Linked DNA regions of Elephas maximus indicus. The protein of the gene in region 2 binds, or shares a complex with, the protein of the main gene of each other region. Links are inferred from orthologs where the notes say so. Each region holds a gene or a part of one and is shown on either strand. Other genes may lie near its edges.

The links.
Region 1: WASHC5 (region 2) and WASHC3 share a complex: the UniProt entries of both Homo sapiens proteins name them as parts of the WASH core complex. The link is inferred for Elephas maximus indicus from reciprocal best matches to the Homo sapiens genes WASHC5 and WASHC3.

What each region holds. Positions count from the first base shown.
Region 1 is NC_064822.1:168,408,303-168,424,730, forward strand, and holds the start of WASHC3 (WASH complex subunit 3), read right to left. Parts: upstream 7,862-16,428; 5' UTR 7,763-7,861; coding exon 7,712-7,762; intron 7,142-7,711; coding exon 7,043-7,141; intron 1-7,042. UniProt on the Homo sapiens protein: Acts as a component of the WASH core complex that functions as a nucleation-promoting factor (NPF) at the surface of endosomes, where it recruits and activates the Arp2/3 complex to induce actin polymerization, playing a key role in the fission of tubules that serve as transport intermediates during endosome sorting.
Region 2 is NC_064833.1:18,036,427-18,053,374, reverse strand, and holds the start of WASHC5 (WASH complex subunit 5), read right to left. Parts: upstream 6,126-16,948; 5' UTR 5,977-6,125; intron 1-5,976. UniProt on the Homo sapiens protein: Acts as a component of the WASH core complex that functions as a nucleation-promoting factor (NPF) at the surface of endosomes, where it recruits and activates the Arp2/3 complex to induce actin polymerization, playing a key role in the fission of tubules that serve as transport intermediates during endosome sorting.

The DNA.
Region 1 (16,428 bases), on a different chromosome or scaffold from region 2:
ACTGCTTTCTGGGATATTAACAAGATCCTGACTAACGCATAAACAGAACTTTAACACCCTGAGGACAGTCATTTTGCCAACATTAAGAGGGGGAAAAACTGAAAAAAACCCAAAGTAGTCAGTGCTCCTTCACAGGACACTTATTTTTAAGATGAGCATGTTGGTATCTACGAAGAACATAATTTAGAAATAAAACATCAGAATCTAGTTTTAATGGCATTCAAAGTGAACAATCAGGCTAAGTTTAACTTTGACATCCAGGATTTGTTCACACAAGGTTTATGGAAACATAAAAACAGGTTTATAAAATGTAGACAGAGGAATTCCTCTCTAAATTATAGGAGTATTACTGAAAACCATGGGAATAAAATTTAGGCAAATTTAATCAATCTTTTAATTCATTAAAGTAGCTTAGAAATTGAAGAAATCCTACAGCAAATTTGTAAAGTGAATGGTAATTTATAATTTGTTTTAAAAATGCACACATTAGTTTGATTAAAGTTAAGTGAATACAGAAAAAGGCAAAATTGAATTTTTAAAAAATCAATTTTTGTCTTTACATGCCTATGTCAGTATATACTTTTAAGCAATAATCATCACTGAAACATTTGAGCATTTACCTTACACGCTATCCTGTACACGCAACGTAATAATTGAATTCTCACACCAAATCTATGAAGTAGGAATATATGCTAATCTTAAAGATAAGAAAACTGTATCATCACATAAATTAAATAATCTGAACTCAAATACTCCAACTCCACAGCCAATACTCTTCAGATGCTACTTTTGAAACAATGTTACATTTTTGAAACATGATGGAAAATTCCTGGGTATTGCCTAGGCACAAATTTTGTTATTCAAGGCCAACAAATAATCAATTTGCTTCTCATTAAGACTAAGATGCTACTGTGCTAAATACTGAGAATCAAATTTTTCTGACCGTGGTAAATCTCCTAACACAGGTGTTGTTTTTCTGAAATTATTTTTAAAAAATGGCTTAAAAAACATTTCAGGGTAATAGCATAAAACTAACTTGTCCCTAATTCCAATGGGTACTCAATGATTCAGACAGGGTAAGACTGAAATACAGATCTTAGTAAATAAGAACTAAGGATGAGAATGTTTATTTGGAAAACTATGAAAATTTAAAGAGGCTTGGAGAAATAAGTTATACTTTCTAGAGCAGTGATTCTCATATTTTGAGGGGTGCAGATTAGTCTGGTATAACTATTTTTTGCTTTGCCACTCACCTTACCTATTTTCATCCACCATAATAAAAACCTCACCAAAATGAAATGACTTTATTTTTTTTAAAAATCAAGATTATATGAATGATTTAACTATGTGAGACATGAAAGATGCTGATTTATTGTAAACATCAATATATTTTAATTTATAAAACATTATCTAAATATCCTTGATACTGGTTTGAGAATAATTTTTTTTTTAATTTAAAGTAATTATAAGGATTGGTATTTTAAGCAGTAGCTTTTTGCTTCATACTGCTACTATCACCCTATTTTATAACGAGATTGACAAATGTAAAGAAGATTTCAGGAACAAACTGAGTTTTATAATATGTCCAAAATAGTCTAATTGTTAATTTACAAATTCTTGTAGGGATGCTGGGTATGTTATGCAATGATTTTCAAATGTTTCAATATGTAACATTAAAAAAAAAAAATTTTTTTTTTTTTAGGATGTATTTTATATTTTCAGATAACACATTTAATATTTTAGAACCTCAAAAACCAGCTCTAGAGAACATGGATAATGCCTTCATGGATAATAAAATAACAACACAATTTATTACAACATAGATCTTCCCAAGCCAAGAGGAAAGCCTGTTGTTGATATGATTTTGAGAAAATCACCTACCCAGTCTTTCTAAACCTGGGGTCCATGAACCTGGCTGGGTGAAAAAAAACTACATCTCTATTTTTATTTATCTCTGACTTAAATTTAGCATTTTCTTCAACTTTAAACTTAATCAACAGGATTACAGTAGTATTAGGACATATAGCTTTGTCACCCATAGAAATCACAGATTTTTTTTATCACATTACAATTGCTGCAGATTTTTCAATTATTTACATTTGTCATAATTCACAGTTAGTCATGATTAGACACGCCACTCACATATTTAATGCTTTAATAAAGGATGTGTTACCATAATTTTGAGTTTTTAAAAGTATTTTGATGATATTTCATCGGTTCTTTTGTAATCCTACGTATTTTATTTTATGCACTTAAAAACAGTAATTTGGCTTTACTGGACTGCTAAAAGGTCCACAGCACAATTCAGAACCTCTGCTCTTCAAAGATAATCCAGCATAAACAAATGGTTTTGAGCCCATTTCCATGTAATCACCTCTATCACATACATGAATATATATATTTCTTCCCAGCCAAAACCAAACTCACTGCCATCGAGTCGATTCCAACTCATAGCGACCCTATAGGACAGTCGAACTGCCCTGTAGAGTTTCCAAGGAGTGCCTGGCGGATTCGAACTGCCAACTTTTTGGTTAGCAGCCACAGCACTTAACCTCTACTCCACCAGGGTTTCCATACATATTTCTTAAAAAAAGCCATTATCAAATGACAATGAGCCTGGTTTCATTTATGGGCTACTGACGTTCATTTCTAAGATGTTTACGCCTTCTTCATTTTCCTTCTGCAACTCCCAGATCCCTCTAATGTAGAGTTTCTTAACCTGGGCTCCACTGACATTTTGGACTGGTTATTATTTGTTGTGTGAAGCTGTCCTATGTACTATAGGATGTTTAGCAGTATGTCTGGCATCCACCCACTAAGTGCCTGTAGCACCCCTCAGTTGTGACAACCAAAAATGTCTATTAAAAAAAAAAAAAAAACAGTTTGACTTGATTTGTAAACGTTCACTTGAAGCTCAATAAAAGTTAATTAAAAAAAAAATTTTTTTTTTATAGACAATGCCAAATGTCCCCTGGTTGAAACCACTGTTCTAAAGTATGAATGACTATGGATATGGTATAAGTAACATGATCAATGATAGTAACTGTCCCCACCTCTGAAAGTTTTAGCAAACAGGGAATGGAAAGGTAATGGTCTTTTCCATTACCATCCTTTCATTTCTGGAATAATTTGAAATAAATCTGAAATGCCTTGGCTTGGGATAACGGGCAAAACTACAATGTACCTGAAATTTTTCAGATAAACTGAGAACTTCTTGATTTATCACCTACCTATTTCTAAGGCAAAACATTTTATTAAAGTGAAAAAGAAGACAAAAGGAAGAAATATGGAACCACTAGTTGAACATGGAAAGAAAAATAAAGAGTGGTTTTTCAGGGTCATAAAATATCCAGTTTGCATATCTACGTCTCTAAAAGAGAAACAATATTTTTAAATAATGGATCTCTTGCTATACACCACTGGGTTGTATATGTCCTAGAAGCCAGAACGGAAAGCAATCAACAGTTTTGTTAAGCTTCATCTGACACTTAAGCTCAGCAGTTGTAAAATATGTGGCAGCAAACAAGGGTTTTAAGAAAAACATTATCTGGTTGAAGGTTAAGTCTGATGGCTGGCTTAAATACTGGACGTAGACGATAAACCAAAACCCACTGCCACTGAGTCAATTCCGACTCATAGCGACCCCATAGGGTTTCCAAGGCTGTAAATCTTTATGGAAGCACACTGCCACATCTTTCTCCAGTGGAGTCACTGGTAGTTTCGAACCGCTGATGTTTCAGTTAGCAGTCAAGCACCTTAACCACTGCGCCACCAGGGCTCCCTGCCATAAATATTTTCAGTTCATGTGAGAATTCACAGCACTTTTCCCTGTACTTGAAGATTTTTGAAAAAAAAATTTTAGAATATTAAAAAACGATTAAAAGTCCAGTATGCTATGCATGTTACAAGTCTGAGTCATAATAGCACATCTGACTGTGATCTATTTAGAGAGTATCTTTGACTTTACAATTCACCAAACTCAGTTTTACCTGCAATAGCCATAGAGCTTGTGCTACCCTCCATTTTGTAAATTTGCAGTCCCAGTGGAAAACCGTAAGATTTTACTGACTAGGGTCAGGACACAAGTGCTTACTAGGATATTTGTGAAGGAAGAAAAGATGACCCTAAGTAATTCTGTAACTTGTATCTGATTCAACTACTTTCCCTTCTCTGCCTTCTAACCTTTCTACTACTCTAGTGCCTGTCATTAGAAGAGTGACAAAGTAGCACAGTATAGTATGCATAAAGTATAGAAAGTTTAGATCTTCAGGGTTTCTCCTTATTATAGAACTCTAAACACAGCACTATTAATGAAGAAACTGCTCTAGCAATTTGTTTCAAATTCAATTCCAGCATGAGTTTAACTGCTATAGTTTTGGTTTGGTTCAAACCAAATCCTGTGAGGAAAAAAGTTTTTTTTTTTTTTTTTGTAAACCCTCTGACCCCTCTGCTCTCCACCAATTCAAAAAATAAAAGTTGACATTCATTTTTTGAGGAGGGAAACATAGTCATTTTGGTTCCTGTTTAAGGTTTTAAGTAAACAAGGACTACAGGTCGTAACGTTATTATCAACAAATTAAAAATCATTTTGAAATACCATATTGATTCTAGCTCAGGAGAAAATGGCACTTTATGCTTGAATACATATATCTTTGGAATTTATCGTATCAAAAAGATGTTACATCAAAAAGACAAGACACAGCAAAGAAAAGTAATCTCAAAAACAGATTATGAAATAACTATAAAGAAAGCACTGCACTTTCTCCCTGAAAAATGATGCAACCAAACTTCTTTTTCAGAACAGAAGGTATAATGTAACCGGGTAGTAAGATGTTTTTGGCTTTTCAAGTTAATAGACCAGAGATGGAATCCCAGCTCTGTTACTTTCTAGCTGTGTGGCTGTGGGCAAGTTATACAGCAGCCAGTGATGAATGAATGAATGAACAAACAAATGAATAAATGTCTAAGCAAATGATTTAAGCCTTTCTACAGCTCAGTTTCTGTGTAACTGGGATACCTGAACCTCTCTCAAATGGCTGGGCTGTGATGATGATCACGTAAAGCACTTAGTACAATGCCTAATACAGAATAATCACATGATAAATATTAGTTATTGTCTTTACGGAAACCCTGGTGGCATAGTAAAGAGCTACAGCTGCTAACCAAAAGGTTGGCAGTTTGAATCTATCAGGTGCTCCTTGGAAACTCTATGGGACAGTTCTACTCTGTCCTATAGGGTCACTATGAGTTGGAATTGACTCGACAGCAACAGGTTTGGTTTTTTCCTTACTGTCATCACATTGAGCAAACATATCTATAACTGACACAATTATCCAAACCTCTAAAGTGAATTGTAAAATACGACTTACAATCAACCACAGGTTATCATCCTTAGGAGAAAGAGGCAAACTACTTTAAACTTATTGAGTTTTTGGTCAATAAGCTTTTTCTCAGAGTTCACGAAGAACTAGGAAGTAGTGACATAGCCAAAACAGTTGGGGGAGAAGCTGAGAGAGGAACAGATGGGGGAAACTTGTGAAGCATGAGGCTTAAAAGCAATCAGTAAGTAAGTGATGATTATTGTTATCTTTGCTTTAGCTGTCAAACAGACAACACTCTCCAGGCTTTGAAAATTGTTAGGTACTACAATGAGGAGGGGTTATCCCTGCCTTAGAGCAGCTCAATCAAGTTGCTTTCACAAGAGTGTTTACTTCTTGTTTTGTTGTTGTTTATTCTATTTTTTAATCTGGTGATGAAGCATATAGGGATGGAGTATCTGCTCCTCTCTATTAACAATCCTGAGATACTCCCCACCTAGATACTTCACCCTACTCTGGTATAAAAAGTGAAGGGCTAAATCCTTGGCTTACTGCTTTTTATTCAGTCAATTCTATCTCCAATTAGAAAGGCACAGTACAAAATAAAATACATGGAAGCAAGCACCTAGGCTCTGGACCTGCTGTTAGATAAAACACACTGTTTTGATCCCCTGACTCTATCAACTGGCATATCATACCATATTTTATTTTCTTTTGTCTTAATGAGACGGTAAAAAGATTTTGATAAGTAGGCAAAAACAACAGCAGGAATCTTATCCGCTGAAAACAGTTTTCCTATCTCCATAAAAATTGTAGTAACAATAATACATGTAACACTCTACTAGCTAAGGCTATTTACCTCATATGAAACAGAATGAACTTCAAATTGTTTAATCAATCAACTCACCTAACTATCTAAGCCCCAGTGAATTATCTAATCCCCCTGATTTACCTCTCTCTCTTCTTTCTTAAACTTAATTTCAAGCCATGTTTCCAATTTGCCTTACCCATCTTTTTTTTAAGAACAAGAATCCCTGGATTTGGTACCTACTCCTTAATCTGGTACTTAATCCTCACTTACGAGTTATCTGCAGAAAATATTCTTATTTCCATAATGACATCTGATGCCAAAGTTAGCTTTCTAGGCTACCTCTCCAGGGCATCTTTTGGATCAAACCAAACCAAACCTGTTGCTGTCCAGTGGATTTAGATTGATGGGGACCCCACAGGGCAGAGTAAAACTGCCCCATAGGGTTTCCAAGGAGCAGCTGGTGGATTTGAACTGTTAACCTTATGGTTAACAGCCAAGCTTTTAACACTGCACCACCAGGGCTCCAGTTTGGATCAAGGAATGTAAAACAATTTGAAAATAAACTGAAACAATATATACTTAAAAATGTAAATATCTGGGTAAGAGCACATGTAACAAATTTCAAAATCACAAGTGTTTTCAACTATGAAATCTTGGAATTCCTTTTATTCTCTTTAATCACAATAAGCTTTTTTTTTTTTAACCACAATAAGTCTTACTGAACTATCTTCCAAAGACCTTTAAAACACTATTCAGCAGAGGTGGAGTGCAGGACTGACTTTAGCTTAACAAAACAACTGGGTGACAAGAGGCCAATCTGAACAGAGTGATTCTTCTTTAACTCCATTTGCCATCCTCAAAAAAAGCAAAGTGATTTCTAGGCTACTCTATAAACCAACATCACAGGACCTACCTCCTCACAAATTGTAGAAAAGTGGTTGAGGAACTGTACTGTGTGCACCACAAATTGGTTTAGAAATGCCACCGTTCTTTTCTGTTGAATAGCTGGCACCTGTGTTATGTAAAAACAAACATGATTCGTACCGGAGGAACGTACACAGTGCAATTCCTTTGACATATGGGCATAGGAACAGGGCGTCTTGCTGTGTGATATGAGTTTCTTGAAGTATTGACAATCGTCATTAACTTGTTTTCATAAACTGTGAGGTGGGGGGTCCGAAGACGATAGAAGCTACATAAAATTTTGAGAATTGACTCCGGATTCACAAATTTTACAGGTAAAGGCAACACAGGTAAACACACAAAAACACGTGGGGGCCGAATCAAAGAGGTAGGGTTAAGAGGTCGCAACGGGCCCAAGTCGCCAGTCGCTCGTCTCCGGGCACAGAGACACGTTACCCGGGAAGCGAAGGCTGGGAGAGGCACAACATCCCCTTAATCAGCTCTGGAGGGACCCCTTTTCAAGGTGAAAGGTGAAGACTCCCTCCCGAGGCCAGCAGAAGAGGGGCCCGGGGCCAGGTACAAGGTGGGGCCTGGCGAAGTGGGGTCTTTCTGGGAACGGGGAGTCCCTTCCTCGTCCTCCTCCCCGGTCTCCGGAAGTTCAACTCCGTCTTTTACAAACCTTGGTCAAGTCTATGCCCGACCCCATGAGAGGAAGCCCGTCCTCATCCATCTCCTCAGCTGGCGGGGAACCCAGGGCTCTCTTCCAGACCCCTCCCAGACAGGGCCCGCCCAACCCGGTAATAGCGCCCAGACACCTCCACAAATCCCCGCCTCCTCAGCCCTTCCGCCGGAAGAAAATGCCTCCGCTCGCCAATCACTCGGCGACTCCCCGCGAGCCCGCCCCTGAGCTCAGCATTCTGGGATTGGTAGTTCTAGGTCCAGATTGTGACGTCAGACTGGGGGCCGCAGGGTTGAACCAGGCTGAGGTTTTGGTGGTAAAATCTTGAAAAGGGGGCCAAAAAAAAAAAAAAATCAGGAATTGCATTCTTACAGTGATCTGGAAAGAGCTTTGCACTCTTGCACACTTAGAAATGAGAGGTGGAAGTGAAGATGGATAGGATGAAGAATACTTTTAAATGCTTATCGTTTCATTGGTTTTTTTGGGGTTCATGTCCATAACTAGTTGAGTATCATCGAATATTTTTAATTGTTGTCTTTCAGCAAATCTGTTGAGTCCCTCTCATGTTCTAGTACTCTACTGGGACTTGTTAGGTGCTGTCAAGTTGATTCAGACTCATAGCGACCCCATGTACAACATAATGAAACACTGACCAAACACTGTGTGGTCCTGTGCCATCCTCACAATCATTGCTATAGTTTTGAGCCCATCGTTGCAGCGACTGTGTCAATCCATCTTGTTGACCGTCTTCCTCTCTCTCTTGCAGACTCTCTACCAAGCATGATGTCTTTCTTCAGGGACTGGTCCCTCCTGATAACATTTCTAAAGTACATGAGACAAGTCTTGCCATCCTCACTTCTAAGAAGCAGCCTAGCTGTACTTCTTCCAAGACAGATTTATTCATTCTTCTCGCAGTCCGTGGTATATTCAGTATTCTTCACCATCATTCAAATGGGTAAATTCTTCTTCGTTCTTTTTCATTGTCCAGCTTTCACATGCTTATGAAGTGATTGAAAATACCATGGCTTGGGTCAGATACACCTTAGTCACCAGAGTAACATCTGTGATTTTTAAGATTTTAAAGTGGTCTTTTGCAACACATTTGCCCAATGCAATATGTCCTTCGATTTCTTGACTGCTGCTTCTATGGGCATTTTTTGTTGGTCCAAGTAAAATGAAATCTTTGACAATTTCAGTCTTTTCTCTATTTGTCATGATGTTGCTTATTGGTCCAGTTGTGAAGATTTTTGTTTTCTTTATCTTGAGGTGTACTGCATACTGAAGGCTGTAGTCTTTGATCTTCATCAGTAAGTGCTTCACATCCTCTTCACTTTGAGCAAGCAAGGTATCATTAGCATAATGCAGGCTGTTAATTAGTCTTCCTCCAGTCCAGATGCTGCATTCTTCATATAGTCCAGCTTCTCATATTATTTGCTCAGCATACAGACTGAGCAAGTATGGTGAAAGGATACCATCTTGACGCACACCTTCCCTGATTTTAAACCACACAGTATCCCTTTTTTCTGTTCAAATGACTGCCTCTTGGTCTATGTACAAGTTCCTTAGGAGGACAATTAAGGGTTCTGGAGTACTGAGACTACAACTATAAATAAGATAAATAGTGTGACAGTTGTAGGCAACTGTATTGTTTTGTCTTTTCACCTTGATAAGGTCTACATGAGCCTAAATTTTTCCATTAGACTGTAAATTCTTTGAAGGATTTTCTTCATTTCTTATGACTCCTCAGTTAGTACCAGCTGCTCTGCTTTGCAATGAAAACTCATTAATAATTTTAATACACAGTTTTGAGGTTCTACTATGATCCAACTATGGTATCAAGCACTGAAGATTCATCCACCCATCCATTCTTTGAACAGATGTTCCCTACAATGTGCCACCAAAACCAAACCAAACCCACTGCTGTCAAGTTAATTCCGACTCATAGTGACCCCGTAGGGTTTCCAAAACTATAAATCTCTATGGAAGCAGACTGCCACATCTTTCTCCCACAGAGCCACTGATGGTATCGAACCGCTAACCTTTCAGTTAGCAGTGAATCACTTTAACCACTGAGCCACCAGGGCACTATGATATGAGTTGGGAATACAACAGTTAACAGAACACACAATTCCTGCCTTCACGTAGATAAACAGAAAATAAACAAGTTAACAAACAGATACTAAGTTGTCCAGGAAGAGAGACAGAAAAATGAAAAAAAAAAAATTTAGTGTGATAAAAACTAGGCTAAAATACGCCCCAAAGAGGAGCACCTAACCCAGGCTGGTGAAATTAGGGGTGACTTCCTGAAGGAGTTGATGCATGAGCTGAGTTTTGAAGATGCAAACATAAGCAAGATGAAGAAGATTGGGAGGAACATTCCACAGAGAGTATCAACATGTGTGAAGGCACTGATGTTTGAGCCCCAGAGACCTACATTTCCCCTGTAAAAGCGCCCCTCCGTTGGTTTCCACCCCATCTTTAATAGGAGCAAGGATTCCCACTGAACTCGTTCCAGAGCTCTGCTTGCTCCTGGCGAGTCCTCACCCTTTCCTCCTCCACTATCACTCTGCACTTTGAGGTCATCATAATTATTCCTGGACTCCTAAGTTATCTCTCAGACTTCCAACCTCATATTGATTTCTACAAGCCTTTTCTTGCCTCTCACCAGCTCAACAAATCCTTTCACAATGCCCTCTGGAACTCAGTCATTAGCAAAATCCCCATTTTCTCAACGTCTTCTTTGACCATTCCTCTCTTTCTGCTCTAACTTGCCTGCTTATTAAGGATACTGCTTCCTGTGCAGCCTGTAGTTGTTTTCTTGCCCACATCCCTGAATCATTAGTTTAGGAGGTGTTTTCGTTCATCCTCACTGCTTCCATACCATTGCTTTTCCTTCCCCTAAAAATGCCCCACAGCTCTGAGTTCATGCTATCCTATATAGAAAGATACCTTGTAGCATCCCTCTACAGACCTTTAGGTCACTGCTACTCTTTCCTTGGAGTCCTTACTTTTTGTCTCACTGCCACTGTTTATAACACTATTATCATAACTTGTGGGATTTCAATATCTGCGAACATAATCTTTCTGGTACCTTGGTGTCATGGATTGAATTGTGTTCCCCCCAAATATCTGTCAATTTGGCTAGTAGGCCATGATTCCCAGTATTGTATGACTGTCTATCATTTTGTCATCTGATGTGATTTCTCTATGCGTTGTAAATCCTATCACTATGATGTTAATGAGATGAATTAGTGGCAGTTATACTGATGAGATCTACAAGATTAGATAGTGTCTTAAGCCAATCTCTTTTAAGATATAAAAGAGAGGAGCAAGCAGAGAGACATGGGGATCTCATACTACCGAGAAAGCAGTGCCGGGAGCAGAGCGCGTCCTTGGACCTAAGGTTCCTGCGCAAAGAAGCTCCTAGACCAAGAAAAGGTTGATTAAAAAAAAAGACCTTCCTCCAGAGCTAACAGAGAGAAAAAGCCTTCCCCTGGAGCTGACACCCTGAATTTGTAGTTGTAGCCTACTGGACTGTAAGAGAATAAATTTCTCTTTGTTGAAGCCATCCACTTGTCGTATTTCTGTTACAGCAGCACTAGATAACTAAGACACTTGGTCTCACAGTTCCTTGAACTCCTGTCCTTTAGTGCTCTTGTCCTCCATTTTCTTATTTCAGCCACACTCACTCTTCCATGGGCATTCTCCAGAACTTTTCATTGCCAAATATCTTCACTCTCTCCATAATCTTAATTTGAAGGATCCACTGTCTGGTCGGTACTTTCGATCTTTTGAGCTCATTCTCTCTGTTATCTTGACTTTAACAGTTCTTCGAGCCATCACGAGAAAGCTTTTTCACTGTACCATAACCTCATTATATCCTCACTTCCTTTTTTACCCAGTTTAGATCTTATGATTCATTATAATCACCCAACAAACTTTTCCCTCCCTCCCTTCATCATACTTACCTGGCAAAAACGTAGTAAATGGAATGTTCTGTCTCTTCTGTACCAATTGTATACAATTAATACCGGTTGGCCTCAACCAGACCCTGTTTCACTTTAAATTCATGCTCTCTTGAGGTTATACCGTCACAAGCTCCCACTGCCACATCTCTTTTCAACCCACATCTGAGCCCTGAAACCTTGCCTTTCCTACAATTACTATGGATAATCTCTCCTACTATATAAAGCCAATTCCTCTATTTGTGTACTAGATACTATTCCTTCTCACCTACTTGAGAACAAAACAAAAACATCACTCCAATGATTGCCCCCACTCTCTCCTCTATCGTCAATGTTTCCCTTTTCGTTGGATCATTCCCAGCTGAATACGAACATGCTATTATTTCACTGGTCTTAACATAAATGTCTTGACTCCACTTCCTTCCCTTTCCAGCTACCCTTTTCAGAAAGATTCCTCAAGATTGTCCACCATCACTCCCTTCGATTTCTCTCCTCCCAGTCTCTCCTAATCCTACTCCAGTTAGCCCACTATGCCATAAAAACTGGTGATCTCAAGGCCACCAATAACCTTCATAATGCTAAATCCTTTGATCATTTCTTTCTTCTTATTTAGCTTGGATAAGCAACATGTGACAAAGTTAATCACCTTCTCCTGCCTGAAAATTTCATTTTCCTTCCAGGATATTACTCTTTTCTGGTTTTCCTTTTATCACTCTGGCTACTTCTTCTCATTTTCCTTTGGCTGGTTTCTCCTCATTTTCCCAACCTGTAATGTTTTTTACATTTATATATCCAGCCCAAATCTCACACTGGAAGCCAGTGTGGCTGAAGCAAAGTGTACAAGAAGGGGAGTTGAAGGAGATGAGGTCTGAAAGGTATGTGGGGACCTGATTATATACGGCTTTGTAGGCCATTGTAAGGGTTGGCTTTCATTCTGGGTGAGGTGGGAAGTCATGGAAGATCTCAAGATCAGGAATGATGGGAGCTACTTAAGAGCCTTAAGCAGGGAAGTGGCATTATCAAAATTGTATTTTAGGACTTTCTGTTTGGCACAAAGTAACTGGAATTATTGATGAGGATGGGTAGGTGAGCCTGGAAAAGTTAAATAGCTACTAAAGTCACCCTTTACATTTTCTCCCTTTCACAGCCTGTATTTTTTGGCTCCTAAACAACTTGAGTTCCTCTGTAACTCTCCATCCAAGCTCTGTCAGCATTCTCTTATGCCTGGATTACTGCAAGAGCCTCCTTCTGCCTCCATTTTGTGTTTCTGCAATCTATTCTAAATATTGTAGCCATAGTGACTTTTTACAGAGACAAATCTGATCATGTTATCCAGGATATAATTTAAAAAACAAACAAATAAAAAAAAAACAACCCATTGCCATCAAGTTGATTTCAACTCATAGTGACCTTATAGGGCAGAGTAGAAGGCCCATAGGTTTTCCAAGGAACAGATGGTGGATATGAACTGCCTACCTTTTAGATGGCAGCCTAGCTCTTAACAAGTAGGCCACCAGGGCTCCAGGGTATAACTATGCTTCCCATTTCCCCAGCTTAATGTGCTTACAAGGCCCTCTTTATGGCCTTGCTCACTGCTCTAACCTCACCTCTCACTAATCTTTCTAACCCTCCATTTTAATTCCAAAGACTTTCTTTCAATTTCCGGAACCACTTGCTGTGAGCCTATAAAAATGTTACCTCTTCTGACTGGAACAATCTCTCTTTCTCTCTGACTACCCTGTCTGAATAACTCCTACTCATCCCTCACAACTCTTGTGTTTGGTTTTCAACAGTTTGAATATAATGTGCTTGGGCATGATTTCCTTTGTATTTATCCTGCTTGAGGTTTGCTGAGCTTCTTGGATATTAAAAGAGGTTGGTTTTTAAATTAAATTGGAAAGATTTTTGGTTATTAATTCTTCAAAAAAAATTATTTTCTGTCACATCTTCTCTTTCTGGGATTCCAGAGACACACGAGTTTTATGATTCCTTGCTATTGTCCCACAGGTCGTTGATGCCCTGCTCGTTATTTTTTTCCTAAAGATTTTTCTCTCCCTGTGTTTCAGTGTGGTTAATTCCTAACAAATACCTTCAAGTTCACTGATACTTTTTTTCCTAGTGTCTGATTTATTATAAAGCTTGTACAATGAACTTTTGATTTCAAATATTATGTTTTTCACTTCTAAAACATCCATTTTTTTTGGAGTTTCTTTTTTCCCCCTAAAATTCCCTTTGCCCATTAAGTTTATCTTCTCTTCCATAAAAAACAAACTTAGAATAGTTATTTTAATGTCCTTATCTAATAATCACAATATCTGGTTCATTTATATTTCTATTGAGTGCTTGCTTTTTGGCCTCTCTCATAATTTTTTATGCTCGGCACTGTGAAATAGAGAATAATGGAAAGTTAAGTGAGGGGCTGAGCATTCATCTTCCTTCACAAATTGAGGTGAACTGATACTGTGCTGCGGCTCTAACTAGATTGAGTTTCCGTCCAATTAGCCTAACTCCTGACCTCCTGCAGGACTGAACTCTTTGATCTTCTCAATGTTTGAATGATCATTTTGATTTATCTTTGGATTCAACTTTGACAGGACCCAGTCCAATCACCATGAGAATGCACGAATTCTTTTTACTTACCAAAGCCCTTTCTCCACTCTTGCTTTCTTAGTAATCTTGGAGATGGAGTATAGGCCTACGTGATTTATTTTTGCAGTTGGGGTCCTTCCAGACCCAAGTCTGTTCCACCACTTCCTGCTATTGGCAAAGTCTCAGCCAATTTCTTCTTGTCTCAGCAAAATCTCCCAGAGTGTGGCAGGCTTGCTCTTCTACCCACTTGCACTCTGACTGGGCCTTTCTCCCCAGGTATAGTAATGCCACAGCTCTCTACTCACCTATGTCCTTCTAGAATTCAGTTCATCAAGGCCTTCTTACATCTACTGCTTTTCAATAGCCTTATGAAAAAGTATGATTTTTACTTTGTCTTTACTACTTGTTACTACCACAGAGGTGAAAGGCTTTTTCTCATCTTTCTACATTCTAACCAGTAGCAGAAGTCTCATCATCCTTCCTTGGAGTTTTCCCTGGCTCCAACAAGACTAGATTAACTGTCTGTCCTAATATATGCTTCCAGAGCATCCTCTGCTTAACCTTATCTTAGTATGAATTATACTTGCCTGTTTGTTTAGATTATTGATTGAGGGCAGAGACTCCACCTTGTTCACTATTAAGGCTCAAGCCCAATGTCTGACCTATAGTAAACCCTCCATAAGTATCTGTTGAATTACTTTTGGGCCTAATGATCCCTTGATCATCTATGAACCCCTGATTGTGACTGGACCCACAACTCTGGGTAAACTCACTCATTTAGCCTTCCTGAGCAAAAACTTCAACTGGCCAACCTAGTCTTTTTCCATGTGCCTCCTAGCTAGGGAAAAAACCAAAAAGCAAGACAGTTATCTCATGATTAAGTACAAGTAGCAAAATAAAATGAAACTGTAGTAACATGAATTTGTTCTCAGTTGGTCCACTGACAAAGAAATTTTCAAAAGCGGTTTGGTTTCTTAAAAAAAAAAAAAAAAAGACAAATATAATGCTAGAAGACGTGAAAGAAGAGTAGAAGTGTGGCAGTTTCTCTCTGCCTCCTAGGATCCTTGATGATTACCGTTCATCTCATCCATAGCTCCTGACAGCATCATTCACATTTTAATAACTGAATTTCCAGTACTATTAACAACAACCTATAGCTGGAAGACTTGGCCCACTGCCAGAATCTTCTGACCTATGTACTCTCTCTTCCAGGCTTTCTCTCACTGGAAATGTATTACAAGATTTCATTTACTATAGTGAAATTCTGAGGGAAAACAAGTAGATTCTAATGAATTCTGATTTCAAAGGGCAGCCTAATATATGCCACCTGCATATCTTAATTCAATTAAAAAAAAAACCTTCAGAATTTTTCAGTATCTTTGTTTTCGTAGCAGGTTACTATAATATTGCTATTAATTTTACCATGAATAAATTCTTATGTAGGGGAGAATGATGAGAACTGGGTTCCCATTTTTCTTTTGTTTCTTCCCACTCTGCTTCAGGGTGGAAGCTTTAGATAAGAGGCATGGGGTAGTTCATAATAGTGGGAAAACATAAATAAATTTCCTCTATCCCTACCCTGCCTCCATCCCCCCAGGAGTGATACAAATCATCTGGTGGGATTTGGCAAGTGGAGGAATTCTAGTCTAGTTAAATCAGTTGTGTTAAGAATTCACTTTTCAGGCTGTTTCTTTTAATTGCTCTGGCTATGTTAACTTCACTCAGAAAGCTGGCTTATGGGCTCTATTCTCTAGTCAGGAGATTGGATTCCTTTCTAGAAAACTGACTACACCTCAAGAGACCTGAAGATATTTAGCTAGGGGTGGTTGTTGTTAGGTGCCATAGAGTCGGTTCCGACTCACAGCAACCCAATAGGACAGAGTAGAACTGCCCCACAGGGTTTCCAAGGAGCGACTGGTGGATTTGAACTGCCCACCTTTTAGTTTGCAACCTGAGCTCTTATCCCCTGCACTACCAGACCTCCTACAGTTAAGAGGTCCCCAGTAAAACAGCAGATGTCCTAATGATTATCCTGCTTTCTTTGAAACGGTTGGCAAAAGGTCTCACCTTTCCATATGTGGACTTTCAAGTACTACCTTGGTTTCAGTAAGGCACCTCGCCCCTGAGCTTAGAGTCTCAATGGTTCAGTTTCTCAAGAAGTGA
Region 2 (16,948 bases):
GGCTGAATCACAGTGTCATCTGGGGTCATGGGGTTTGTGGTGAAGTAGGTTAGAGGCAGTCTCCTATTTTTAACAAGTTCCCTGGATGATTCTGATGTAAAGCCAGGATTGACAAAGACTGATCTTGTGGAAGACTGCAGCAAATAAATATAAAATGACGATATTCGCCTCTGTATCCTCTGTGCTTAACTCACTCCCTGGCATTGATGCACACGACAATTACATAAAAAATAACATGAGGGATATGAGAGGTGACGCCTGCCCCCTCCAGCTGCTTATAATACTGTTGAGAGAAAAGCCCTGAAGAAAAAGTCAGAGAAAGACGTGAAGTGCTTGAGTGTGTGGTCAAGATAAAGAAATACTGGGTGCAGCTGCCATTACCCTGTCAGCATGGAGCCTTTACTTGATCTTATCTTGGCTACAGTATTCTTTTTATGATAGATGATCTTTAAGAAAGTGGCATCGTCTAGGAAATCAGGGCTAGAGAAGGAAACCCAGAAGTTAGAAAAGACATAGTTTAGTAGATGACACTTAAAAACTTTTCTAGGGCTCCCAGCTGGAACAAAGGAGAAGACCAAGGATACAAGGGAAAGATTGGTCCAAAGGACTAATGGACCACAACTACCACAACCTCCACCAGACTGAGCCCAGCACAACTAGACGGTGCCTGATTATCACCGCCAACCGCTCTGACAGGGATCACAATACAGAGTCCCAAACAGAGCAGGAGAAAAATGTAGAAATACAGAACAAAATTAAAATTCAGACACACACACACAAAAACCCCAGGCTTGCTGGCCTGACTGGAGAAATTCCGAAAGTATGGCCCCCAGACATCCTTTTAGCTCAATACCGAAATCACTCCCAAGGTCCACCCTTCAGCCAAAGATTAGACAGGTCTATAGGGCCAACAGAAACCCTGCTGGCGTAGCGGTTAAATTTTACGGCTGTTAACCAAAGGTTCGGCACCAGGCGGTCCTTGGAAACTCTATGGGGCAGTTCTACTCTGTCCTATAGGGTCGCTATGAGTTGGAATCGACTTGATGGCCGAGGGTTTGGTTTTGGTTTTTTGGTTTATAGGGCCAACAATAACACATGTGAGGGATGTGCTTCATAGTTCAATCATGTATACGAGACTAAATGGGCACACCAGGCTGAAAGCAAAGACGAGAAGACAGGAAGGGACAGGACAACTGGACAAATGGAAACAGAGAACCCAAGATGGAGAAGGGGAGAGTGTTGACACATCGTGGGGTTGGCAACCAATGTCACAAAACAATCTGTGTATTAACTGTTTAATGAGGAACTAATTTGCTCTGTAAACTTTCACCTAACTCACACACTAAAAAAAATTCCTCTGAAAAAATATTATTAAATAAAGTTCATAATTTCTTAAAAATTTTTTTTTCCTATGGCAAAGAATTACAACGATGAATTTGCAATGCAGAGGGCAGACAGAGGGTTGATTTTTAAAACACGCAAAGCGATCTCACAAGCTGACAAGAAGAGAGCAAATAACCCAACAGAGAAACAGGCAGAAGATATAAAAGGTGAGTTCAGGGAAGAGTAATCCCAATGACAGACAACCATCCGAAAGATCCTTAGTTCACTGGCAGTGAAGGAGCTACAAATCAAAGCCAGTGCCAAAAACCACTTTACTTCCATTAGGTTGGCAATGATTAAAACGTATAATAATATCTGTTTCAGGTAGGAACTGGGGAAATACACTACTGGTGGAAATGTGAATTATTAGTCTTGAGAAAGTGAACCAATACTTACTGAAATTAAAAATATACACACTTTTTGACTTAGTAATCTCATGCCTGGGAATCTACGCCAAGAAATAAAAGCAGCAACATATAAAGATACAGGTCCAAGGATGCTTCCTGCAGAATTGTTAGTCATCTTACAAAATTTGAAGACAAAGTAAATACCCATTAGTAAGGAAACTGGAATTTAAGTAGCCATTAATAAGTAGGAATTAGAACTACACCGGTTAAGTTGGAGGATTTCTGAGAGCTATTACTAAGGGGAAAAATAAAGATGCAGAAACATAAATAGGATGCTTCCATTTTATAAAACAAAAAAAAAGTGATGTAATTAAAAATTATGAAAGTATACCATATAGTCCCCTGAAATAAATCAACTCAACTTGGTTTGGCCAAAGAATTAGTACATAGTTGATAAGAGGAAAAAAAAAAAAAAGAAAGAAAGAAAATCTTTTTTCTCTTATCGTAATTTTACTCTAAATTTTGTGTAATATAAAACTGGTACTTTGGGGGAGTACATGATTTCACCAAAACTGTCAATTTGATAATACAATATCCTGTACTTCAGAGTGGACTTTCATAGCCTGACCTTAAAATGGTAATTTTTGCACAAAAGTTTCAAGGCATCATTTTCTTCTCAAAGGCTCTCCCAACCATTTTTGTCACCATCTTTGTTGTATTTCTTGTCTCTATTGTTAATTTAGCTAGGTCATCATTTGTCAAGTTCATGGAAGCCTGTGTCTTTTGCAACATTTGCACTTTCACTCTGCACTGGTATTGTACTCTATACATATGATATTAACCATTAGGAAATAGCTAGCAAAGATAAGCATTTGGCCTCACAGACATCATTGGCCAGGAATATTTGAATAAAAGTAGTCAGCTCATTATCATTTTTATGTCAATACCATCTTTTATTTCCACAGGCAGTCTTACAACACATGGACTCAGATACTGAATGCTGAAATAGTGACTACACTGTACATAAAACCAGAATGTGGAAAGATGACAAAAATTACAAAAAATTGTGGCTTCTGGCTTGGGTATCTTCTGTAGCTTGCTTGCCACAGGGGAAGCAAATTGCCATGTTGTGAGACAGCCTTTGGAGAGGCTCATGTGACAGGGACTGAGGCCTGCCAACGATCACAGGAGTGAGCTTGGAAATGGGTTCCCACAATCCCAGTTAAGCCTTCAGGTGAGACCCTTCAGATGTGAGCCCATGCTCAGCTTGACTGCACCCTTCAGAAGAATCCCTGAGGCCAAGGTATTGGGCTAAGTCATACCCTGGCTTTCTAAACACAGAAAATGTGAGATAATAAGTAATTGTTGTCTTAAATTACTAAATTTTGGAGCAGTAATAATTATCTGGGTGAATGGCATTCCAGGTAGGGATTAAAAGTGCAAAGGCCTCAGGACAGGAATGTGCTTGATGTGTTTAAGGAACAGTAAGATGGCTGATGTGGCTGGAGCCTAGTGAGCAAAGGACAGAAGGAGAGATCAGGAAAGGTGGATGGGGTTGAGTTTGAGAGCAAGGAGATATGAGAAGCCACTAGGCTGTCTAGAGCTCTCATGACGGCATCCTATAATACACATAAGGCATGGATTTTTAACAAATCCTTTTAGTTTTCTCTGTGATGTTTGCTTGTTAAACCACACTGATCTCTAACAGGCTGAATTTCAGTAAATTCTGAAGGAGAACTTAATTTTCTGCAATGATATGGACTGGCATGGAAAATGAGAGAGGAAAAGGGAAAAATAAAAGACAACGGGCAAAACAGTCCCCTGTGGAGGGTCCTCTGAAGAACACCAAACTAAACCAGGTCTCAGCAGGATGAAAACTCTAGACACATTCAGAGAGGGGCAAGCGATAGTTAACAGGTCTAACTGCTACCTGGTTGTGGATAACGAGATAGGGCCAACAGTGGGGCCCTGGAGCAGTTTAAAACAAATCAAGTTAACTACTTTCTTCCTCACTCCTTCCCAACAAGCAGACAAACAGACACACTCAGCACCTTCAAGTACATATTCAGAGAAGCTGACGCCTCAAGTTCAAAACAAAACTAACTGGGATAATGACATAGACTTTTGCATGTCAATCTCTTGTTTTAATCCTTATGCCCTAACCCAAGAATTACAACGTAGCCAATTTCCAGAACAACATTAGTAGGAGAATAGGAAAATAAATGTTTGGCAACAGTGAGAGAAATGTTATGGACCTTTAATATATAGGTTAATCACCTTGTCTAAAATTCTAAAAAACAAATGTTTATCTTGACTTTTTTAATATAAAAGCAAGATATGGTTATATTTAATGCCCTTTCAGGGAAGTGCCTGTAATCTGCCCCAACTCATGAAGAACAGTTGAGTTTTCCTTCCCTAACACTGCTAGCATCTCTAGCTAAATTTTTGAACAAGCTAAAACAAGATTAACTGAAAGAAGGAAATCACTTAGTTACATTACCACGTACTAGACCATGTCATCTGCACTAGTTCGATTTTTCATGTTAACAAATGAAATTACCACAATTTGCACAAATTATTCTTTAGCTAGAGTATCTGGTAAACAGCCCCCACTGTTGACAGAAAAACTGGCCCTGAAGAACAGAACCTAGGAACCATCATTCAAGATGCCCAAACACCTTGCCTCCATCTCAGAGTTAGGAAACTTTACAGAAGGGGCAGTGGTTCAGCGGTAGCATTCTCGCCTTCCGTGCAGGAAATCGAGGTTTGATTCTCTGCTGATGCACCTCACGCTCAGCCATCATCCGTCAGTGGACGTTTGGGTGTTGCTGTGATGCTGAACAGGTTTCAGTAGAGCTGCTAGACTACGATGGACTAGGAAGAAAGGCCCGGCCATTCTGAAAAGTAACCAACGAAAACCCTACGGATCACAATGGCCTTACCCCCAGGCAATCATGAGGACGGCACAAAAGTGGGCATTCTGTTCCACTGCACACGCGCTTGCCTTGAGTCGGGGGTCCAATCGATGGCAGCTAACAACCACAGAGTATGGTGAAAATAAAAACTGTAGAAAAAGCTGTCTATAACCAGCCTTTGAGGGGTTCTCTTGATGCTAGAGATGAAGGAAATTCATAAAGACCGTTTTACTCAATATAGGCTGCATTACTACTAGTGTAAAAAAGAACCAGAGTCCACTCAATTTTCTAGTTTTTTTTTACAAGTCATCCAGAAAAGAGGTTGTAACTTTATTTTTAAGAATGTGGCACAAAGCTGGGCTTTTCAGTTTGGAAAGTACTCCTAGACAAAAGACAGCACGCTTTCATGAAGAAAGGTTGGCATCATCACACCATGAGTACAGAACCGAAATTCTGAAGAAAATTAAATTATTCTGAGACAAACTACTGTTTACCCTACTCAGAGGACAAAGGATGATGTCTATTTTTATCATTTCACAAAACCTCAGTTCCATAAAGAAGGAAGCACTGGTTTCCACAAATCCATTATCAAAAACAAAATATAGTGGTTGCTGACCAAGATGAAAGTGACAGGCATATCTGTTTCAGAAATGTTCTGAAATGACTCTGATCATTCTACTCGGATTTATGAATCCAGGTGAAGGAAAACTGGGGGTCCCTCACTGTGGGCAGAGGCAATAAAACTCGCCCCTCCCTCCCATCACCTATGTTTGAGAAAGAACAGTGCACTTCGAATTAGAAGACCCGATTCTATTACTGGCTCTGTCACATTTTTTTTTTTTTTAATGGTGAGACCATAGGCCTAGAATTCTTTTTTCGAAATGCAAAGGACAGGACTTTGGCGCTATTATGTCACCTGTGAGGAAATTAAGGTGCAGAGAGGGGCAGTGATTTGCCCAAATCCAGTCCATCACAGAACTAGAATTCAAATCCTGGTCCGTTAGACTGTAAAAGTTCTCATTTTTCTTGAGAGTAAAAAGAATTATGACGTTCGCACGGCACTGCTCCGTAGAACTTGGAAGAATCAGATAGGAGCCCAGCATGGAAACATCGCTTCCTAAAGCGCCAAAGGAATGTGCAACATTTTTTCCATCAAAGTGGAAATGAAGAGCCTGGACTGCAGCCCCCAGCCACCTGCTGCCGCCAAGTCCTCGGCCCTAGGGCCCTCCCTCCAGACCCCCCCACCCCGACGCCAGGGTGGCCCAGCGCCGGGACGGAGGACGGGAAGAGGAAACGTGCAGAGGAGGGCGCGCGCACCTCGCCCGACTCACCTGTCACTAGGGCCGCGCCAGTGGCGCTCATTCAGGGCCGGCAGTCGCACACGGACTCGCGACCTCCGCTCCCCCTACGCAAGGGTCCCCTTAGATCCCCAGACTGGTACAGCCACCGGGACTGACCCCGGCTTCCGCTCCCGGAGCCTCTGGCCGTCACGTGACCAAAGGGGCGGTGGGCAGAGCGGGGCGTCACGTGACCACGCTCCGGCGACGGCTGATGACGCAAGGGCCCGCTCGCCGTTCTCAGGGGCAGTGCAAGGGGGTTAGGAAAGGTGTGGGGTACCGTCATGGGAAGTCAGGGTGCAGCCGGACGGAGATAGGTCGGGCAGCCAGGTAAGGCAAAAGCGGGGTCGGCGGTGGAGAGGGTGGCGGGAGTTGTGTCCTCGCTCCTGGGCGCTCTGCGCGTGCCCTGAGCGGGAACTGTCGACTTGGGTTTGGTCCTGGCTCTTTTCACGCAGTGAGACTGGGGCAGTTTACCTCCCTTTCCTAGGCACCGTCTCTCCAAACTTCAGTCTTGAGTGTGTGGGGAAAAGATCACGAATTTTTGATCCAAATAAATCAGGTTTTAACTTTTTACAAGCACGGCCTTGGACAAGTCAAGTAAATAAACTCTTTGGGCTTCAGCTTCCTTTTCTCTTACGTAAATTGTTGTGAGGATTAGCGATAGTGACAGGGAAGCGCCCACAACTACTTTATGGCACACTGTTGGAGAAGGAAGCTCTATTGTATTTACTCCTATTTTTATTATAGGGTCGCTGTGAGTCCGAATCGACTTGACACGGTGGGTTTAGTTTTTTGGTCTTTACTCTTTCCATTGTTCTTTCTTCTTGGTGTTCCAGGACCTCTTCTTTTATCATTTCCTTTCTGTTTCGGAAACTTTTTCTTTAGTCATTCTTGTAGGGTAGGTTTGCTGGTGACAGATTCTCTTAGCTTTCCTCCACTTAATAACAGGGCCTTGAACCGGTTCGTTCTGGTGTGAAGCCTGCTGAAAATTTGCATTTCCACCTGTGATAGTCAGAATCAGAATCCACAGTTTAGCAACATCCCCAGGTGATTTTTATAGATCCCCAGGTGATTGTTCACTGGTTCCAAGCCTTGCTTGAGAATGTCTTGATTTCCCCTTTATTCCTGAGGGACATTTTTGCTGGACGTAGACCTCTGGGTTGACAGTTCTTTTCTTTCAGCACTTGGAAGTTGTTGTGCCATTTTCTTCTGGCCTTCATGGTTTCTGGTGAGAAACCTATCTTTCAAATTATTTTCCTCTATAAGAAAGGCAGAAACTCTGGTGGCGTAGTGGTTAAGTGCTATGGCTGCTAACCAAAGGGTCAGCAGTTTGAATACACCAGGTGCTCCTCGGAAACTCTATGGGGGCAGCTCTACTCTGTCCTGTAGGGTTGCTATGAGTTGGAATCGACTTGACGGCACTGGATTTAGCTTCTTCTTTTTTTTTTAATAGGAAAAGTTTTGTTTCTCTCTCACTGCTTTCAAGATTCTTTGTTTTTAGTGTTCTGAGGTTTGGATATGATGTGCCATGATGGTATTTCTTTGACCTTACACTATTTGTAGGTCCCTGGGTGGTGCTATGAGTTGGAATCAACTCCAGGGCGACCAGTTCCCCCGACCCCCGCCCCAGGTGGCACAAGTGGTTAAGCTTTCAACCACTAGCCTAAAGGTTGGTGGTTTGAAACCATTAAAATCACTAAACAGCACCACAGAAAAAAAGGCCTGGTGATCTGCTTCCATAAAGATTACAGCCAAGAAAACCCTATGGAGCAGCTCTACTCTGTAACACATGGGATCTTCATAAGTTGGAATTGACTGGACAGTAATGGGTTTAGTTTTTGAGTTTTTGTCTTGTTTGTGGTTCACTCAGATTCTTGAAACTGTAGGTTTATGTCTTTTGTCACATTTGGGAAGTTTTCAGCCATTATTTCTTTGAGCACTTTTTCCTCTCCTCTGGGACTCCAATGAGATGAATGTTAGATACTTTCGTATAGTCCCATGTGTCCCTGAGGCTCTGTTCTTTTTTTTTTTCCCCTCAGTCTATTTTTCTCTGTTGTCGAGATTGGCTAATTTCTATTCTTGTCTTCAGTTGCATTGATTCTTTTGTCTGTTGTCACCATTCTGCAGTTGGGTCCATCCGTTGAGATATTTATTCCGATTATTGAACTTTTTTTAGTTGTAAAATTTTCATCTGGATTGTCTTTATATCTTACATTTATTTGCTGTGACTTTCAGATTTTTTATTTGTTATAAGCTTGTTTATAATTGCTTTTTTCGGCATTGTTACGAAGGCCACTCTAAAATCTCTGTCCGATAACTCTAACATCTGTGTCATCTTGGTGTTGGTGTCTGTGGGTTGTTTCTCATTCAGGGTGAGGTTTAGCACTTCTTGGTATCACTAGTGATTTTGGATTGAATCCTGAACGTTTTGGGTATTATATTATGAAATGCTGTATATTATTTAGATTTTCTGTTTTAATAGGCCTTCTGTGACACTGAGCTGCTGAGGGAAGGAACAGTGGCTTGTTACTGCTGGATGGTATTGAAAGTCCAGTTCCCCACTCAGTCTTGTTATGACTGTGAAGGGGTGGGAGTGCAAGCTCCCTGCTAGGACTCCCCGGTACCACCGTGGCTGGGAGGGGTACGGTGCCTTGTTACTGCTCTCCACATAGCCTTCACCGTGGGAGTTGGGGGACGGCCGTGTTACCCCTAGGTGGTAGATGAAAGTCTTGGCTGCCCTCTAGGCTTCCTCTGACACCAGCAGGGCAGAGGTTGGGGTGGACATACAGGCTCCTCAGACAGTGTCCACTGACACAGCAGGAAGGGGGAAGAAAGGCTATGCAGGCATGAAAGTTCCAGCATCCCACTAAGCCTTCTCTGAGGCTGTGCCCGGAGGAGTGCCTCATTACAGCCCAGCAAGGGCGAAAGCCTAAGCCTTTGCTGATGGGGTTGAGGCTGCAGAGTTTTTGTTGTTGTTTGCGTGTTTTTGTGGTGTTTACCTAGAGTAGAGCAATTGTCTAAAAGTTTGGCTTGCTGCTGTTGTTGTTAGGTGCTGTCGAGTTGATTTTTGACTCATAGCGACCCCATGTGCCGGAGTAGAACTGCCCCGTATGGTTTTCTTGGCGGTTTTTTTTTAATCTTTTCAGAAGCAGATCGCCAGTTCTTTCTCCTGTGGAATGGCTGGGCAGGTTCAAACAGCCAGCCTTCAGGTTAGCAGCTGAACACTTAACTGTTGTGCCTCCAGGGCTCCTGTTTTGGCTTTCTAGGCCGCCCCTTTCTTGCTTCTTTGGTTAGAAAGAGCAAGCTATTCTTGGGATTTTTTTTTTTTTTTTGTCTGTGTTGTTGTCCTGCCTGGGTTGTTGGGTGCTCAACCACCCAGTCTGGGATAATGAGGCAAAAAGAAAACCCAAGGAACTCACCACTGTGTTCTTCAGCTCTCCTGCTCCTAGCCAGTCTGCCTTCTTCTTTCCACCTTTCAGAGTCTTATGTTGGTTTTACACAATGTCCAGGGTGTATAGGCAAAACCAGTCATCTAACTCAGACAGCCTGGCTCCAGAGGCTGCATGTTTAATTGCTATTCTATATTGCCTCTACAGTGTAGCTAATAAATATTTTAATACAGACATGTTTCCTATTATCTCTAAGCGAAAGTGATATTCCAGGAAGATACATCCTGCTTATACTGTGGGTTTGGCCCTGTTATTTAACTGTGGTTCATATAGTACAATTTTATAACCATGCCGCTCAATCTGTGATGTCCGGTATGGTAGCCACTTGCCACAGGTGGCTATTTAAATTTAAATTAATTGAAATTAAATAAGATTAAAAACTCAGTTCCTTGGTCACACTAGCCACATTTCAAGTGCTCAGTATCCACATGTGGCCAGTGGCCATCACATTAGAGAGTGCAGGTTATAGAACATTTCCATCATCACAGAAAGTTCTATTGGGCAGTGCTGCTGTAGATAGTTTAGGCTTACCCTAGAATCAAGATTGACTGGAAAACTGAATACTTAGATCATTCTGGTCCTTGAAGGATTGTGTTTTTTTGTGTGACAGTTGGTGCTATACCAGGGAAGCCCCCAAATCTACATGGCTTTGCACAATTGAAGTTTGTTTCTTTCACACGTAGAACCTGTCTGGTGAGCAGATTTCCTCCATGCAGTGATTTAGGGTCCCAGGCTCCTTTCATCTAGTAATTCTCTATCAACATAAAGCTTCTTAGGCCACGGTGCTTGCCTGTGTCAAGCTCTCAAATGGAAAAGAGTATGGGGAAAATGTGGTTTTCACGGGCAGGGCCTGGAAATGGCTTACATTTTTCATTGGCTTGAATTCAATCAAATGGCTACACCTAACTGCAAGGAAGGCTGCAAAATGGGGTCTAGCTGTGTGAATGGTTAAAGAGGAAATGGGCTTAGTGGGTACCTAACTGATCTCTGTCATGACTATCCTGTCTTAGCTTACACTGTGGAATAGGAAACAATCCTGGGAAACTTGCTATTACTGCATTGATTGTAAGCATATTATTGAGGATATTTTTCAGTATGACCCTGTTACAGTTTTGGAGAGATATACTGTTCTAGGTGCTGAGGACACACATACAGCATTTCCATTGCCATAGAAAGCTGTATTTTTTCTAAGCTGGTGTACTTCTTCTTTATGGGGAAAGAAAATTCTAAAACTTTCATTTTTGTTTTGTAAGGAAGCTCACAGTCATACGTGTGTTGCAAGTATAATACTGTATATAATCCTAAAGCCTGCATGACTGTGTTCTAATTTTCTCATGTACTTGGTTTTCCATTTTATCTGTTTTTATTTTTTAATTGGGCTTTAAGTGAAAGTTTACAGAGCAAATTGGTTTCTCACTGAACAATTAATACACATATTGTTTTGTGACATTGGTTGAGAACCCTACGTCATGTCAACATGCTCCTCTTTTTGACCTCAGGTTCCCCATTTGTATTCATCCAACTTTCCTGTCCCCTCTTGCCTTCCCATCCTTGCCCCTGGGATGGTGTGCCCATTTAGTCTCATATATGTGGTCGAACTATGTGTGTTATTGTTTGTTTTATAGGCCTGTCTAATCTTTGGGGGAAGGGTGAGCCTCAGTAGGGACTTCGGTGCTGAGTTAAAAGGGTGTCCAGGGCTCATACTTTTGGCATTTCTCTAGTCTCTGTCTGACCATTAAGTCTGGCCATTTTTGTGAGATTGAATTTTGTTTTACATTTTTCTCCATCTCAGTCCAGGACCCTCTGTTGTGACCCCTGTCAGAGCAGTTAGTGGTGGTAGCTGGGCATCATATGGTTGTGCTGGACGTAGTCTGGGGGAGGTTGTGGTAGTTGTGGTCCATTAGTCCTTAGACTAATCTTTCCCTTGTGTCTTTGGTTTTCTTCATTCTCCCTTGTTCCAGATAGAGTGGGACCAGTAGAAGTATCTTAGATGGCCGTGTACAAGCTTTTAAGACCTCAGTGGCTACTCATGAAAGTAGATGCAAAACATTTTCTTTATAAACTGTGCTATGCCAGTTGAGCTAGATGTTCCACGAGACCATGGTCCCCAGCTCTCAGCCCAGTAACTTGGTCTCAGGTAGTTTGGACGTGTCTGTGATGTTTCTATTACTTTGCATTGGTCAAGTTGTGCTGACCAATGTACTGCATTACCCTTCACCAAAGTTACCACTTATCTGTTGTCTGTTGTTGTTAGGTGCCATCGAGTTGGTTCCTGCTCATAGTGACCCTGTGTACAACTGAACAAAACACTGCCTGGTCCTGTGTCATCCTCGTGATAGTTGTTTTGCTTGAGCCGGTTGTTGCAGCCACTGTGTCAGTCCATCTTGTTGAGGGTCTTCCTTTTTTTCAATGACCCTCCTCTAGTCCCTTCCCCAGGGACTAGTCCCTCCTGATAAAGTGTCCGAAGTATGTGAGACGAAGCCTCGTCATTCTCGCTGCTGAGGAGCGTTCTGACTGTGCTTCTTAAGAGGCAGACTTGTTTGTTCTTTTGGCAGTCCATGGTATGTTCAGTACCCTTCACCAACACCACAACTCAAAGGCCTTTGTTCTTCTTCAGTCTTCCTTATTCATCGTCGTCCAGCTTTCACATGCATATGAGGCTATTGAAAACACTGTGGCTTAGGTCAGGCGCACCTTAGTCCTTAAAGTGACATCTTTGCTTTTTAACACTTTAAAGAGGTCTTTTGCAGCAGATTTGCCCAATGCCCAATGCTACAATGCGTTGTTTGATTTCTTGACTGCTGCTTCCATGGGTGTTGATCGTGGATCCCAGTGAAATATAAGCTTTGATCACTTCAATCATTTCTCTGTTTATTGTCTAGTTAGTGTTTTTCTTTCCCCATCCCTCCCCTCCCCTCCCCTCCCTCATAACCATCAAAGACTGTTTCTTTCTGTGTTAAACTTTCTATGAGTTTTTATAGTGGTGGTCTCAGCAGTATTTGTCCTTTTGTGATTGACTTGTTTCACTCAGCATAATGCCCTCCAGATTCATCAATGTTGTGAGATGCTTCGCAGATTCATCAATGCCTTTTATCGTTGCATAGTATTCCATTGTGTGTATGTATCACAGTATGTTTATCCATGTATCTATTGATGGGCACTTAGGACTTTTCTATCTTTTTGCTGTTGTGAATAATGCTGCAGTGATCATGGGTGTGCATATGTCTATTCATGTGATGGCTCTTACCTCTCTAGGATATATTCCTAGGAGTAGGATTCCTGGATTTTTTGGTATTTCTATTTCTAGCTTTTCAAGGAAGCACCATATCATTTTCCAAAATGGTTGTACCATTTTGCATTCCCACTAGCAGTTCACAAGAGTTTCAGTCTCCCTGCAGCCTCTCCAGCATTTGTTATCTTCTGTTTCTTTGATTTGTGCCACCAATGTCGGGGGTGAGATGGTATCTCGTCGTTTTGATTTGCATTTCTGTAATGGCTAGTGATCACGAGCATTTCTCGTGTCTGTTAGCTGTTTGAATGTCCTCTTTGGTGAAGTGTCTGTTCATATCCTTTGTGCATATTTTAATTGGATTATTTGTCTTTTTGTTGTAGAGGTGTAAGATTTTCCTATAGATTTTAGAGATTAGACCTTTTTCAGATTTGTCATAGCCAAAAATTTTTTCCCAGTCTTAGGTTCTCTTTTTAGTCTTTTGATGAAGTCTTTTGATAGGTATAAGTGCTTAATTTTTAGAAAATCCCATTTATCTAGCTTATCTTCTGGTGTTTGTGTGTTCATTATGATTTGTATCTTATTTATGATGTGTATTAGGGCTCCTAGGGCTAAACCTATTGTTTCTTCCATGATCTTTATAGTTTTTGGTTTTATATTTTAGCTCCTAGGGCTAAACCTATTGTTTCTTCCATGATCTTTATAGTTTTTGGTTTTATATTTAGATCTTTGATCCATTTTAAATTAGTGTGTGTGTATGGTGTGAGATATGGGTTCTGTTTCATTTTTTTTTTACAGATGGACATCCAGTTTTGTTAGCACCTTTTGTTAAAAAGACCATCTTTTCCTCATTTAATGTACTTTGGGCCTTTGTCCAAGGTCAGGTGATCATCGGTGGATGGATTTACATCTGGGTTCTCAATTCTGTTCCATTGGTCAGTGTGTTTGTCGTTGTACCAGTACCAGGCTGTTTTGACTACCGTAGCTGTACGGTAGGTTCTGAGGTCAGATGGTGTGAGGCTTCATACTTTCTTCTTCTTCTTCAATAATGCTTTTCTTATCTGCGGCCTCTTTCTTTTCCATATAAAGTTAATGATTAGTTTTTCCATCTCGTTAAAGGATGCTGTTATAATTTGGATCGAGATTGCATTGTATTTGTAGATTGCTTTGAGTAGAATTGATCTTTTCATAATGTTAAGTCTACCTCTCCATGATCATAGTATGTTTTTCATTTATGTAGATCTCTTTTGGTTTCTTGCAGTAGTGTTTTGTAGTTTTCTTTATATAGGCCTTTCACATCCTTGGTTAGATTTATTTCTAAGTATTTAATTTTTTTTAGGGGGTTTATTTTCCTGATTTCCTTTTTGTAGTTCTCTTTATTGGTGTGTAGGAATCCAACTGATTTTTCTGTGTTTAACGTATATGCTGCTACTCTGCTGAGTCTGTTAGTTCCAGTGGATTTCTTGTGGGGTCTCTCTATGTATAGTATATAATCTGCGATTAGGAATAATTTTACTTCTTCCTCAACAATTTGGATGCCCTTTATTTCCTTTTCTTGCCTTATTGCTCTAGCTAGGACTTCTAGCACAATGTTAAATAAGAGTGGTGATGACATCCTTGCCTTGTTTCTGTTCTCAGGGGGAATGTTTTTTGCCTCTCTGCATTGAGAATGATGCTGGCTATTGGTTTTGTGTAGATGCCCTTTATTATGTTGAGGAATTTTCCTTCTGTTCCTATTTTATTGAGAATTTTTATCAGGAATGGGTTATTGGACTTTATCAAATGCCTTTTCTGTGTTGATTAAGATGATCATATGATTCTTTTCTTTTGTTTTATGTATGTGTGGTGTATTACATTGATTGATTTTCTAATGTTGAATAATGCTTGCGTACCTGGTATGAATCCCACTTGGTAGGAGTGCGTGGTTTTTTTTTTTTTTAATGATGCTGAATTCTGTTGGCTAAAATTTTGTTAAGAATTTTTGCATCTGTATTCATGAGAGATATTGATCTGTAATTTTCTTTTTTTGTGATGTCTGTGCCTGGTTTTGTGTCAGGATTCTGCTGGCTGCGTTGAATGAATTTGAAAGTATCCCTTCCTTTTCTATGCTCTGAAATAATTGAGTAGTGCTGATGTGAGTTCTTCTTTGAATATTTGGTAGAATTCTCTTGTGAAGCCATCTGGGCCTGGCTTTTTCTTTTTTTTTTAATTAACTTTTCAGTCTCTTGTTATAGTTTTGTTCTGATTTTTTACTTCAGTTTGCGTTATTTTAGGTAGGTAGTGTGTTTCTAAAAATTTGCCCTTTTCCTCTAGGTTTTCAAATTTGTTGGAGTGCAGTTTTTTCATAGTGCTGTGTTATGATCCTTTTTATTTCAGTTGGGACTGTTGTAATGTCCCCATTTCATTTCTTACTTGGTTTATTTGCTTCCTCTCCTGTTTTTCTTTTTTTGGTTTGGCCAATGGTTTGTCGACATTGTTGATCCTTTCACAGAACCAGCTTTTGATTTTGTTGATTCTGTAGTTTTTCAGTTCTCTATTTCATTTATTTCTGCTCTGATCTTTATAATTTTCTTTCTTGTGGTGGCTATGGGCTTCTTTTGCTGTTCTCTTTCTATTTGGTATAGTTGTAGAGCTAACATTTGTTCCTTCTTTTTGATGTGTGTGTCTCTTGCTACGAGTTGACCCTGAGCACTGCCTTTGCTGTGTCCCAAAAGTTTTCATATGATGTGTTTTCATTCTCCTTTGATTCTGGAAATTTTTGGATTCCATCTTTGATTTTTTCTATTACCCAGTGGTTTTTAATCAAGATGTTACTAAGTTTCAAAGTTTTCGATTTTTTTTTTCCTTGCACTTCCTGTTACTTATTTCTACTTTTATGGTATTGTGATCAGAGAAGATGCTTTGTATTATCTCAGTGTTTTGGGTTTTGTTCAGAGTTGCTTTGTGGCCTAAGTTGTGGTCTGTTCTGGAGAAGGTTCCATGTGTATTAGAAAATTATGTATACTTTGCTGCTATTGGGTGGAGTGTTCTGTATATGTCTATGTGGTCAAGTTGGTTGGTTGTGGCCTTCAGATCTTCTGTATTATTGTTGAGTTTCTTTCTAAATGTTTTGTCCTTTACCGAGAGTGGTGTGTTGAAGTCTGCTACTATTGTGGAACTGTCATTTTCTCTTTTCAGTGCTGTTAGAGTTTGTTTTATATATTTTGGAGCCCTATCATTGGGTGGGTAACTATTTATTATGGCAATGTCCACTTGGTGAATTGTCCCTTTAGTGATCATATAATGGCCTTCCTTGTCTTTTATGATGGATTTTGTTTTAGAGCTAGTTTATCTGAGATTAGTATTGCCACTCCTCTTTTGTGGTTGATGTTTGCTTGAAATTTTTTTTTCCATCTTTTAGTTTTTAATATATTTATGTCTTTGTGTCTAAGCCGTGTCTCTTGTAGACAGCATACTGAAGGGCCCTTTGTTTAGTCCATTCTGTCACTCTTCTATCTCTTTATGGGTGCAGCGAAGCCATTTATGTTCAGTGTGATTATTGATAGGTGTGAGTCTATGCTGTCATTTTGAAGTGCTTTGTTGTGTGTTGCTAACTTTTTCTTTGTTCCTGTTACTCTATTGTGCTGAGTTCTTTTTGTTTGTGGATTTTATTTTAGTTTCTATAGATATTGTGTTTTCTTAGACTTTGTTTTTCTTCTTTATTTTGATCAGTAGGTTTGTCAACTTTCTTTGTGATTACCCTGAAGTTTGTCCCGTCTTACTAAGTTTGGGCCAGTCTTTTATTAGCTGATATTGCCTTTACTTCCTCTTCATTTGAAAGTTATGTACTTGCACCGTTTATTCCGCCTTTTATTGTTCGGACGTTGTTGTTATGTACAGATTGACGTCTTTGGTTCCCTGTTGTAAATCTTTTGGTTTTGTTTTATCCTTTACAGTCCATTACCTAGGTGGTATCTGGCTGATGCTGTCCTGTGTCCTACATTCAGGTTGTTGTCTGATGTTGTTTTGTTCTCTAATCAAAGGGCTTCCTTTAATAATTCTTGCAGGTTTGGTTTGGTTTTTACATATTCCTTTAATTTCTGTTTATCTGGAAGTGTCCTAATTTCACCATCATATTTGAGTGAGAGTTTTGCTGGATATATTATTCGTGGTTGGCTATTTTTTCTTTCAAGGTTTTATATATGTCATCCTATTGTCTTCTTGCCTGCATGGTTTCTGCTGAGTAATCAGAGCTTAGTCTTATTGTTTCCCCTTTGTATGTGACTTTTTGTTTTTCTTGAGTTGCTGT